Cricetulus griseus: one gene and its partners. Each later gene encodes a partner of the first gene's protein in a complex. Links are inferred from orthologs where the notes say so. Each region holds a gene or a part of one and is shown on either strand. Other genes may lie near its edges.

What was found. The genes of interacting proteins can lie anywhere in the genome.
Region 2: Iqcg (region 1) and Fbxl13 share a complex: the UniProt entries of both Homo sapiens proteins name them as parts of the nexin-dynein regulatory complex. The link is inferred for Cricetulus griseus from reciprocal best matches to the Homo sapiens genes DRC9 and FBXL13.
Region 3: Iqcg (region 1) and Ccdc153 share a complex: the UniProt entries of both Homo sapiens proteins name them as parts of the nexin-dynein regulatory complex. The link is inferred for Cricetulus griseus from reciprocal best matches to the Homo sapiens genes DRC9 and DRC12.

What each region holds. Positions count from the first base shown.
Region 1 is NC_048597.1:56,503,482-56,507,111, forward strand, and holds part of Iqcg (dynein regulatory complex protein 9), read left to right. Parts: intron 1-2,084; coding exon 2,085-2,242; intron 2,243-3,630. UniProt on the Homo sapiens protein: Component of the nexin-dynein regulatory complex (N-DRC), a key regulator of ciliary/flagellar motility which maintains the alignment and integrity of the distal axoneme and regulates microtubule sliding in motile axonemes.
Region 2 is NW_023276806.1:172,829,709-172,833,801, forward strand, and holds the start of Fbxl13 (dynein regulatory complex subunit 6), read left to right. Parts: upstream 1-1,215; 5' UTR 1,216-1,443; coding exon 1,444-1,518; intron 1,519-1,526; coding exon of another isoform or gene 1,527-1,638; exon of another isoform or gene 1,639-1,639; intron 1,640-1,896; exon of another isoform or gene 1,897-1,912; intron 1,913-4,093. Other genes in the region: Armc10 (armadillo repeat-containing protein 10), read right to left, coding at 650-782. UniProt on the Homo sapiens protein: Substrate-recognition component of the SCF (SKP1-CUL1-F-box protein)-type E3 ubiquitin ligase complex.
Region 3 is NC_048597.1:155,926,516-155,930,781, forward strand, and holds the start of Ccdc153 (coiled-coil domain-containing protein 153), read left to right. Parts: upstream 1-1,388; 5' UTR 1,389-2,140; intron 2,141-2,407; 5' UTR 2,408-2,417; coding exon 2,418-2,487; intron 2,488-2,513; exon of another isoform or gene 2,514-2,552; coding exon of another isoform or gene 2,553-2,557; intron 2,558-2,993; coding exon of another isoform or gene 2,994-2,998; coding exon 2,999-3,064; intron 3,065-4,158; coding exon 4,159-4,266. UniProt on the Homo sapiens protein: Component of the nexin-dynein regulatory complex (N-DRC), a key regulator of ciliary/flagellar motility which maintains the alignment and integrity of the distal axoneme and regulates microtubule sliding in motile axonemes.

The DNA.
Region 1 (3,630 bases):
GGAGACCAGGCTGGCCTGGAACTCAGAGATCCTCCTGCCTCTGCCTCCCGAGTGCTGGGATTAAAGGCGTGCGCCACCAACGCCCAGCTATGATAGTGATATTTCACATACAAGATTTTCTGGCATAATAGGAGCCCTTCTTGTGATTTTTTCCCCTTAAAACAATTCACTTTTATTTTGAATTGTGTGTGTGTGTGTGTGTGTGTGTGTGTATTCTCTCATAGGTGAGATCTGAACTTATATATACGCTCACCCAGGACAGGAGAGTAGAGGGGACCACAATGAGGGAGAAGGGAGTTTGAGGTCTGGGGACAAGAGAGTAGGGTCAGTAGACAAAGAATATTACCACATTTTCTCCTACATTTCCATTCCCCCTCCTTGTATAGTTTCTAAAACATTAGCTGTTTATTTTGCCAATGAGAAAACAGCAGCACAGAAATTTTAGATAAAAAACAGATAAATTTTAGTAAAAAACAGAGCCAGGATTGAGACACTGAAGCTGGCTTTACAGTCCAAAAGTGTCGTTACTGTCAGTAGCCCAAGCATTTAGCCACAGGTTAAGAATCAATTGGGAGACAAATGATGTCTTGTGGTTCCTCAGTACTTGAATTTAGGTCTGAAAAATATTTTGGCTTTTCTTATATAGCCCTCAGGATCTGAAATACATTACTAAATTTGGTACCAATTTTCACTTTTTAGTACAATTCTCCTTTTATTTTGTATAGTTTTATATTGTTTTGTATTATTGTAGTATTATTTGTATTTGTATTATTGTATTATTATTTGTATTTGTATTATTTGTATTTGTATTATTGTAGTTTTATATTGTTTTATATTTGTTTATATTGTATAGTTTTATATTGTTTTGTTGTCTGTCTCACTGTGTTGCCCAGTGAGTTCTCTCGTGACTCCACTCAGCCTTCCTTACCCATGACCACAGGTCCATGCCACTACGCTGTCTGTGTATATTGTGTTTTGCCTGCATGTGTCCCTACACGCCAGCAGAGGGCACAAGATCTCATTACAGTTGGTTGTGAGCCACCATGTGGTTGCCGGGAATTGAACTCAGGAACTCCAGCCCCGGGATGATCATGTTTATTACCAACCTTATTCCATGGAGAATTTGAGATGAAAGAAAATGAAGATATAGGGATTAGCTCAGAATCTGACATGCCCAGGCACAAAGCCTGGGTGTTCCATCCCCAATACAGAAAGAAAAAAGTAAATAAATAAATAAATAAATAAATAAATAAATAAATAAATTAAATGGTGTGAAGTGGACTGATGCCTCTAAGACACTGTCTCTCCTCTCATAAAAACCAAGATCTCATCTTGCTATTTTATACTTACAATATGGCAAATTTACAGATCACTGTGGGTTTTTGTTGATTTGTTATTTTACTGTTCATTTTTGGATTGTTGCTTTGTAGTTTTGAGCAGGGTCAACCTTAGCCAAAGCTGGCCTGAAACTTAATATCCTGCCAGGTGACCCAGAAATCCTGACTTCTGCCCTCCACCTCCCAGGTGCCAGGATCGCAAGCCAGAACCATCAGACTCTTGCTCTTTTACCCTTTGTGATGCTGGGGTTGGGTCCAGGGCCTTCCACATGTTAAGGATGTATTCTATCATGGGCCTACCCCCTCAGCCCCAAGCTTCACCTTTGCTCTTTGTCTTATAGTTCACCAGGCATTAAGTTAGGGGATGACAGAATGTGTGGAGGCAGGAAGACAAGAAACAGTGGGATATATGTTTTGATGGGGCTGAAGAAAGGTCTGTTTTCTTGGAGTATGGAATGTAAGTGGAGAAAAAGGTTGAAAAATACACAGCAGTCCTCTTAAAGTGTTGTCTCTTTAAAACAATTATCTCTAAAGACTTTCTTTTTAAGATTTATTTAGTTTGTATGTGTACGAATGTTTTGTTTGAGTCTATGTCTGTGCACCATGCACACCCACCGAGGTCTGAAGAGGGTGTGTGGGTCCCCTGGAACTGGAGTTACAGATGGTTGTGAGCCCCCACATGGGTCTTCTGCAAGAATAAGTACTCTTAACCCCTAAAACAGTATCTTTAACACCATTTATTTTCAGAAAGCAAGCCACGAAAAACCATCTGCGGTCTCAAGTACAAGGAAATTATCTCTTCCTTTGTCAGAAATGAAACAACGAGGCCAGGACTTAATCTTAAAGAAGCCTACCAGGCAGACCATCATAAACCTGGAGACACTGAAGAAAATTCAGAATGATAGGTAAGAAGAAGGGAAGGTAATCATACCAGCCAGCAGGTGTGAAAGAGGACACCTGCTTCTGTGAAGGTCCCAAAAGTGGAGTGGCACAGTTTAAAACATGGCCAGCCTGGTCTACAGAGCAAGTTCCAGGACAACCAGGGCTACACAGAGAAACCCTGCCTTGATAAACTAAAACAAGCTGGGCAGTGATGGCACATGACTTTGATCCCAACACTCTGGAGGCAGAGGCAGGTGGATCTCTGTGAGTTCGAGGCCAGCCTGGTCTACAAAGTGAGTTCCAGGACTGGCTCCATAGTTACTGAGAAACCCTGCCTTGAAAAAAATCAAAACAAAACAAAAAAACAAAAACCCAAAACAAGCTGGCTGGTGGTGGCGCATGCCTTTAGTTCCAGCACTCGGGAGGCAGAGGCAGGCAGATCTCTGTGAGTTCAAGAACAGCCTGGTCTACAAGAGCTAGTTCCAGGACAGCCTCCAAAGCCACAGAGAAACCCTGTCTGGAAAAACCAAAACCAAAACAAAACAAAAAACCCCCCAAAAACAAATAAAAAAAAAGCAAAACAAACAAGCAGCCCCCCCCCCAAATAACCCATGGTGCTGTATTATCTTGAACAAGTTAACGAGCTTTTGTTCTCCCTTTCCTCTTACTCTCCCTACCTCTTTCTTCCCCCTTTTCTTTTTCTTTTTCTCCCATTCTCCCTCTCTCCCTACCTCTCTTCTTTCTTTTCTTGCTTCGCGTTCTTTCTTTTTCAGTCTCTAGTCCCAAGTGGTCTGAACTCACTGTGTAAACCAGGCAGGCCTAAAATTTCTGGGCCTCTTGCTTTCTACTGAGTTCTGGGCTTACAGATCTGCACCACCACATCCTATTTTAGTTTGTAACTTTCTTTCTTTCTTTCTTTCTTTCTTCTTCTTCTTCTTCTTCCTTTTTCTTCTTCTTCCTTCTCCTCCTCCTCCTCTTCCTCCTCCTCCTCCTCCTTCCTTCCTTCCTTCTCCTTCTTTTTTTTTTTTTCCAGACAGGGTTTCTCTTTGTAGCTCAGGCGGTCCTGGAACTCGCTCTGGAGACCAGGCTGGCTTTGAACTCACAGAGATCTATCTATCTGCCTGTTTCTGCTTCCTAAGTGCTGGATTAAAGGTGTGTGCCATCACTGTCTGGCAGAAACTCTCTTCTTAATAGAGCTGTTAACTCTTTTTTGTATGAATTATTATTGATAAGTACAAAATGATAAATATAATTTTTCCAACTCTGTATCAAAACAAATTAAAAAATTAGGTTTAATTGGTGTGTGTGTGTGTGTGTGTGTGTGTGTGTGTATGAGTGTATGAGTTTTGCCTGCATATATGTATGTGAACTATGTGTGTGCCTTGTGCCCGGTTTTGAGCTGCCATGTGGA
Region 2 (4,093 bases), on another chromosome or scaffold:
TCCCCAACAGTTTTCACGACCTAAACGATCCCTTTAGCATATGCAGCAAACTGTTGGACCTCTCTTACCACCACAGGACTGAACCTACAAGCCCTGTTTGTCCAAAGGTTGTAACCCGTGTCGGCTGAGCGTCTTTTTCCTGCATACACCCCGAGTTGCAGGATGCTACGGCTGGACCCCAGGACAGGTCCCATAAGTGTTGGCAGAATTGCACCTCAGGGAGCCCTTCTTCACACGGCTACGTGCAAAGTTTCAGCCTGGGCTTGAAGGCCGCAGTAACCCTCTCGCAGTCAGGGGCATCTCTTTGGTGACACAAAGGCCCGGGACAGGTTTTACAGCGACAGGCAATCTACACGGTTTGGAGAAACCCTAGTTCTCGGTTGCGAAGCGATGTTTTCTTGCAGCCCTCGTCTTAAACAAAGGAGTAGGTGGGGGGGGGGCAGGGAGGGCTCAGGACCGTCTACCTCCAGCGCTCCGCCGGCCCGCCCCACGTCCCCTCACCCAGACCCAGTCTCCCTGCGACCACAGGCAGTGGCCGTGACTGCCGAGGGCGCCCCCGGCCCCGCCCGGCCAGCCCAGCCCAGCCCAGCCCAGCGCGGGGGTCCCGAGCCCCGAACCTGTGCACCTGCCGAGCGGCCCAGCGCCTCACCTGCGGACCGCGAGGGGCGCAGTTTGCGCCCGCCTGGCCGCGGGCCCCGAGTCAGCCGGTAGATGCAGTAGCAGGCGCCGGCGCCCAGGACCAGCCCTGCCGCCACCCAGCCCGCGTCCCGCGCGCCGCCCATGCCGCCGCTGCCTCCGAGTCGCACGGAGCGGATTCAGCACCGCACGTAGCGGCAGCAGCACCGCAGACAGGAAGTGCGGCTGAAGCTCCGCCTTCCGGAAGCCGCCCTGCGAGCGTCGGAAGCCCCTCTACCCGCGCGCTGCATCACCAGGAGGGCGGCGGGATGGGCTGGCTGGAGCCGCCGCACTCGTGGCCGCCCGCCCCACCCCGCCCCGCCCCGCCCCGCCCCGCCCCTCTGAGTTCTCCTCTAGCTCGCCCCACCCCCGCGCCGCCCCTTTGTACTCTGCCCGCCCTCCTCACTCCGCCCCGCCCCCTGCCCTCAGGCTCTAGTTTCCATTTCCAGGCTGACCCGGACCGCCCCGCCCAGCTGCATGCCCCTCCCCTTTACATTCTGCCCCGCCCTCTCTCACTCCGCCCCGCCCCCTCCCCTCAGTCTTTAGTTTCAGTCTCCAGGTGGTGGGGACCAACCTGCCAGGCTCCAGGCCACGCCCACTTCATGCTCCGCCCCGCCCCTCCCCTCGGGCTCTATTTCCATCTCCAGGCTGGCGGGGACTGTGCCTGGCTGGTTCCGTGGTTGCCACGCAACGCCCCGACGCGGCTGGCCTTGGAAGCGCAGGTTTCCAGATTGGGCAGACCGCGGTTTCTCTGTCCGGTCTCCGGCCATGGCTTCGTTACGCGGTGCCTCCCCCAAACTGAGGAACTACTTCAGGGACAACTACATCCCTCAGATCTGTGAGGTACCTACTGGAGCCAAGCCGAAGGCGGGCGCAGGGAGGGGCCCCGGGGCAGGTGCGAGGAGACCGGGGTGATTGATGGTGGCGCCAGCCTGGATGGTGTGAGGAAGGAAGAAGTGACATCCTGCAGGGAGAAAGAGCAAGTGTCAACTAGTGAGGGTCAGCCAATGGACAGAGAGAGAGACAGAGACAGAGAGACAGAGACAGAGAGACAGAGAGACAGAGACAGAAAGACAGAGAGAGACAGAAAGACAGAGAGACAGAGAGAGAGAGCAGAGACAGAGCGAGACAGACAGACAGACAGACAGACAGACAGACAAAGTGGGAAATTACCAGTATGGAGCCAAGTAGAAATATTTAATAGGGAAAAGCCTTACTTACAGAGCGACCTAGCCAAATTGCATGGCAGCAGTCTGTAGAGCAAGCCGAAAAGTGAAACCAAAAGCAAAACCCCAACCTGGAACTCTACATCACCCTGACCACGCCCTCAAAGGCGTGGTTAGGCACACCCCTAAGTGGGCAGCTTCCCCTACAATTCCCCTTTTAGTCTAAAAGAGGAGTAAAACTTAACAGTGTTAAGTATCCAAAATTAACAATCATAAAGGTGAAATATAAGAAGATACAACAATCTGCTTATGTCACATCCTAACTATCTATGTTAACTAAACCCTAAAGTCATCTGAAAGAGGTGTCCAAGCCCGAACACCTCCTTCCAATCCCAACCATAAACAATAGGAAACTATCCCTAACTAGGTATATACACTATCTTAAGTGACAACAATGGGGGAAAGGGGACGTAGTATTCTCCAAGTTACTTCCTGCTGAAATGGGATGACGACATCCTTATGGGGTCCTGTAGGAAGAAAATGTTAGTATAGTAAAAGTCTTGAATGGATTGTATCCAGTCCATGCTTGAAATCCTCAACTTGATTGAAGTCAGTACCCAAAGCTTTGGCCGGAGTGTCAGGTGAAATGGAGCAAGTTGGATGCAGTGCAGTTGAGGAGGTGTGGCCCATTTTCTTTCCAGGGTGTCGAGGGATTGCTGTCAGGCAGGTCTTCATTGGCTGTGTGGGACTCAAACATAAACAGCAGAGAAATGTTGCTTGTGTATGTACACATACTAGGAAAGGCAACCATGGGAGAATAACGATTATGAGAGGGTGTACACCTTGAGAAAGAGAGCCAAGAAAAGACAAAGACAGTCCCCAAATTCTTCTATCATTCTGTATTACATCAATTGGCTTCTTGATACTATACAGAAAATCTAAAGTTTAGTTAAACAACGTGCTTGGATTTTAGAGGAGGAAAGCCAAATCCACCTCTAAATCCAGCGTTGGTTTAATTGAATAGGGGCTAGAAAAAGAGAAATCGAGTTCTCTGAGAGATAGCTGTAAAGTTTGCCGTATGGCACGTTCCTTTTGTTTGATGGTTATAGCTACCTTCTCTTCTTAAGCATCTACCCATGCAGTGTCCTTTGCCTTCAGGAGATGAGTTTTCCTGTGAAGATAAAAGCAAAACACTTCCCTTTCCTTTGGGAGGTTTCTATTTAATTTATAAGATATACCTTAGTAGAATACCTGTCATTTCTCCTCATCAAGAGGTTTTTCCTTTTCAACTCGAATCTTGATCAACTTTGATGGTATCCAAAGTTTTTCTTGTCCTGTGGAAACCAATGCAAAACCCCTACCCCACTGTAACACATGTCCTGGTTTCCATACAGAGGTTAATACATCTTTGAAGTATATCGGCTGATTCAGTTCAGCAGTTTTCTCCATAGTCCAGTGTCTTTCTGCAGCTGTTTGTTCTTTCTCATTGGCATTAAGAAAGTTTAGTGTTAATAAAGCATTATGCAACCTATGTTTGGGGGGTTTAGTCTTCCAAGTTTGTTTGTTGAGCATCTCCTTAAGTGTTCTATTAGATCTATCAACAGCTGCTTGTCCCGTAGGATTGTGTGGTATACCAGTAACATGCTTTTTGTTATAATATTTGAAAAACTGTTCCAATTTTGTGGAGACATATGCTAGAGCATTGTCAATTTTTATTTGTGCAGGTATATCCATAATTGCCATCACCTCTAGCAGGTGTGTAATAACAGAATCAGCTTTTTCAGAGTTAAGAGCAGTAGCCCATTGGAACCCTGAGAACGTGTCTATAGTATGATACACATATTTCAAATTTCCAAATTCTGCAAAGTGAAAGACATCCATCTGCCAAACCTCATTTCTCCGAATGCCCTTAGGATTACAACCTGCTGGCAATGGAGTTTGGTTATAAAAGGAACAAGTAGGACAGTTTCTCACTATCTCCTTGGCTTGTTGCCAAGTGATGGAGAAGTCCTTTTTCAAACCTTTGCTATTTACATGATGTTTCTTATGAAATTCTGAGGCTTCTAGCACACTTCCAATTAATAAACGATCAATCTCATCGCCTTGTGCTAGTGGGCCTGGCAGACCCGTATGGGATCTGATATGTGTAACATATATAGGATCACTTCTGTTTCTGATAGTTTCCTGTAATTGTAAAAACAATGAGGTTAATTCTGTATTATCAGGAACTAATTCTGTAGTCTCAATGTGTA
Region 3 (4,266 bases), about 99 Mb from region 1:
AAGATGTCCTCTATATCTGGGAAGTGTGCACAAGGCTCACCAGCCCCAAGTTCCATGGGTTGTAAGCACCATAGAGGCAAGTCTGACTCCTCTCTTCCCTCTACAAAATGTACAGAGTGATGGCTGGAGACATGGTCCAGCAGTTAAGAGCAAGCACTGCTCATGCAGAGACCCCGACTTTGGTTCCTAGCACCAACCATACTGATGGACTGCCCACAGCAGCCTGTAAGGCCAACTCTAGGTGCTCCAATGCTCTCTTCCAGCCTCTTTGGGTACTGCACTCACATGCACAAACCCACACACATATAGCGAAATGAAAAATTAAAATTAAAAATCTTTTCTAAGATCTCTAAAGTGCCATGGGGTTAAATAAACACTCATTGACCTTCTGCTTCTTCTTCACAGGTGAGAGATCTTCCTCCCACGTCTTATACCTGTTTCTGCAGATTTGCTTCTGATAATATGCAGTTGACCAAAATTCTGGAATAGACAGAAGTGCCCAAAAAGAGTCTGTAGATCCCATAATCCACAGGGAAGAAGGAAGGCTTACTGTTCCATTCTATGTATGATGCCATTGTGATGCCCAGTAATGGCCCGGTTCCAGGATGGAGCCCTCCCAGATGGAGGGGGCAATAGCAAGCTACCCCATCACACTCTCTACCCACAATCAATTTTTTAAATCATATGCAAGATGCTAGAAGGCATCCCCCAAAGAGAATCTCCCCCATATTGTGCAAGAAATACTAAACTGCAAAATTTAGGAGACTCTGGTCAAAGCAAGTCCACTAGAGGGAGCACTAACCAACTCTATGCTGCAGAGAGCTTGGGGGCTTCTAAACACCCTGTCTGCAGAGTAACCTCACAGAGAAATAGGGAGAGTGAGACAATTGTTGAGCGGGAGAGAAAGAAGTCCTAGAAACACACCACTGAGTATATATATATATATTATATATATATATATATAATATATATATATATATATATCCTTATTTTACATAGCAATCTCGGTCCTGTCTTCCCATGCCCACCCACCCCCATCCCATTCCCACTGCCGTCCACTCCCCAGGGAGGGTAAAGCCTTCCCAGGGGGATCATCAAAGTCTGTCACATCATTTGGGGCAAGGCCTAGGCCCTCCCCCATGTATCTAGGCTGAGAGAGTATCCCTCCATAGGGAATGGGCTCCCAAAGTCTGTGCACTAGGATAAATACCGGTTCCACTGCCAGAGGCCCCATAGACTGCCCTGGCCTCCCAACTGACACCTATCTTCAGGGGGCCTGGTTGGGTCCTATGCTGGTTCCCCAGATGTCAGACTGGGGTCCGTGTGTTCCCACTTGCTCAGGTCAGCTGTTTCTGTGAGTTTCCCCAGCATGGTCTTGACCCCTTTGCTCATCCCTCCTCCCTCTCTACAACTGGACTCCAGGAGGGAACTACAAAACTTATACACCAAGAAATCCAAGCTGAGCAAAATTAAGTAGCTCAGTTCGCAACTCTGCCTAATTTGTGGCCTCCTTTCTGGGTCAGCATCCCCAAGTCCACAGCTCTTCTCTGTTCTCATTTCTCTTAAGTGGAAAACTCTCAACTACCTGTGCCAGCACGTGTTTCCTGCACAAGCCACAGATAGCATTTCTGAAGTAGACCTCAAGTTCTAAAGCAAATCATGTCACTGTGTTCATGAGACCTCGGGATATAAAGTACCTGCAATGGCTACTTTCCCTGCCTTTCTTCTCCATCTGTAAAGCACTAGCCTCTCACACTGGATGCTTCTAGATTTCTAGACTGCAAAGTCTCCAGATGATAGGCAGTGCCTGTGTAGACATGAATAATAGCTATTCAGCTCCAAGACCTTTTCTTTGCGGGTAGGAGGGGAATCTACCTACACAGGACCTTTGTGTGAGTCAATTTAGCCCATTCTACCTGCCTATGAACACAGTGTTTCCCGGTTGCCTGGGCAGCAGGCAGTCTCCAGAAACCCAACATCCCAGTTCTTGGTCCTGCCTCTTGGGGAAGTTTTTCAGCCTGGATTGGCTCCCAGGACCCAGGCTCCTTCCTCCCTAGGCTCAATCTGCTTGGGACTCTATCTTTCCCAAGGAGTGTTATTCCCCAGGGAGACAGCACTCAAGCAAGAGAAGGTCCTCCAGGTAGGAAGGGGAAGAATAAGCATGTTGGGGAGACAGAAGGGACCAGGTCCAGAGATTTATCTTCTCTAAAAGGGCTGTCTGCTGCCCATAGAATTGCTCTACCTCCCAGCCTTGCCTGGGGTTCCCAGGAGACCAAGAACCAAAGCTTCTAGAAAGTGTAAGATACACTGGAAGACTAGAATTCTGACTGCCCCAAGACCCCTACCTCTAGGAGTCAGGAGAGCATTTCTGTATGCAGACCTACACAGAAGGTCTTCCCTCCCCCAGGGCAGCAAGGATGCCACCTAAAACCAAAGGAAAGGGGAGAAAAACTGGGGCACAGAAGAAGAAAAAAAAATCAAGTCCTGGTGAGTCACAGGGCGTGTCTGTGACACAAAGGTCCTCGGAGGGAATCCAGCCCTCTGGGCAACAAATGGAGTGGGTTTGTTTTGGTTTTGTCTTTTGTTCTTTTGACACAGGGTCACTATGGGACCCAGGCTGCCCCAGTCTTCATAGTGACAGGATTACAGGCGTTGCTACCACACTTGGCTAGGGTGAAGCTTCCTGGCCCTCCTCTGCAGATCCTTGCGTCCAGATTCCATGGGGCTGAGGAAGTGGAGAATGCCTCCTTCCCAAATTCCCCCTGGAGCCCCATCTAGTTCTTTGCCCTCATCATATTTTTCACCCTTATTTTGAGCACCCACCGTGCACATGGTGGGTGAAGACTCTGCCACTCAGCCGTAAATTTGTCAGATTTGCCATTGGGCCTCCCTCATCCAGCTATCTTCCTCCATCACGAAGGAAGAAGTGCAGGTGCAGAGCAGCACTGGGGTGAGGCCGAGAGAAGGATAACCTGAGACTATTGTCTTGCCAGAACAGATGCAGAGGCTGAGGCCAAGCATAGGATGGTCCTGCTGGAGAAGGAGCTGCTTCAGGACCACTTGGGTAAGAAGTTTGAAGCCTCAGGAGATGGCAGAGATAGAAGTCCTAGTTAGGGTCATCGTTGCTGTGATGAAACACCATGACCAAATCAACTTGGGGAGGAAAGGGTTTATTTGGCTTAAGCTTCCAAATCACTGTTTATTATTGAAGAAAGTCAGGATAGGAATCCGAGTAGGGCAGGATCCTGGAGGCAGGAGCTGATACAGAGGTCATGAAGGGTTGCTGCTTACTGCCTTGCTTCACATGGCTTGCTCAGCCTGCTTCCCTTTTTGTTGTTGTTGTTTTATTTTGTTTTGTTTTTCGGTTTTTCGAGACAGGGTTTCTCTGTGTAGCTTTGGAGCCTATCCTGACACTCGCTCTGGAGACCAGGCTGGCCTCGGACTCACAGAGATCCGCCTGCCTCTGCCTCCCGAGTGCTGGGATTAAGGCGTGCGCCACCAATGCCCAGCTCAGCCTGCTTTCTTATAGAACGCAGGACCACCAGCTCAGTGGTGGCACCATCCACAGTGGGTAGGCCCTCCCCATTAGTCACTAATTAAGAAAATGCCCTAAAATCTTGCCTACAGCCTGATCTTATGGAAGCATTTTCTCAGTTGAGGCTACCTCTTCTCTAATGGCTCTAGCTTATGTCAAGTTGACAATAAACTAGCCACCCAATGTATGGAACATAGGGCATTTCTGGGTTCTTGGGGAACTGGAAAGTTTGAACTGTGTGCAGGGCTAAACCAAGATAGCCATTAATCTATTTGCAAGATTGTGAGGAAGGGCTAGGCAGTGAAGATCAATGAAAGAAGCTATCTCCCACCCCTTCCCCCAGCTGGGAATAGAATCACAACTTCATTCATGATAGGTAAGTAGTCTACCATGGAGCTAACCTGCAACTTGGGGAAGCCATTGTCTTATAGTGGCCAGAACATGGAGGGATTATTGACTTAGGAATGAAAACCCTATGGGTTTTGGGGCAACTAATAAAGAGTATACGAAATTGACACCTGTCACCAAGTTCACAGAGGTGAACTTAGTTCATGGAGGCCATGGTGATTGGTTCTGTAGGACCCACAGCCAGACCTGAGCATGGCTCTTGACACTGTCCACAGCTCTCCAGAGGGATGAGACCCGCAGAGCCAAGGCTTCTGAAGAGAGGCTGAAGCAGAGGTTGCAAGGGCTAGAAGCTGAACTGGAGAAGGCCCAAAGTGAAAGGGATG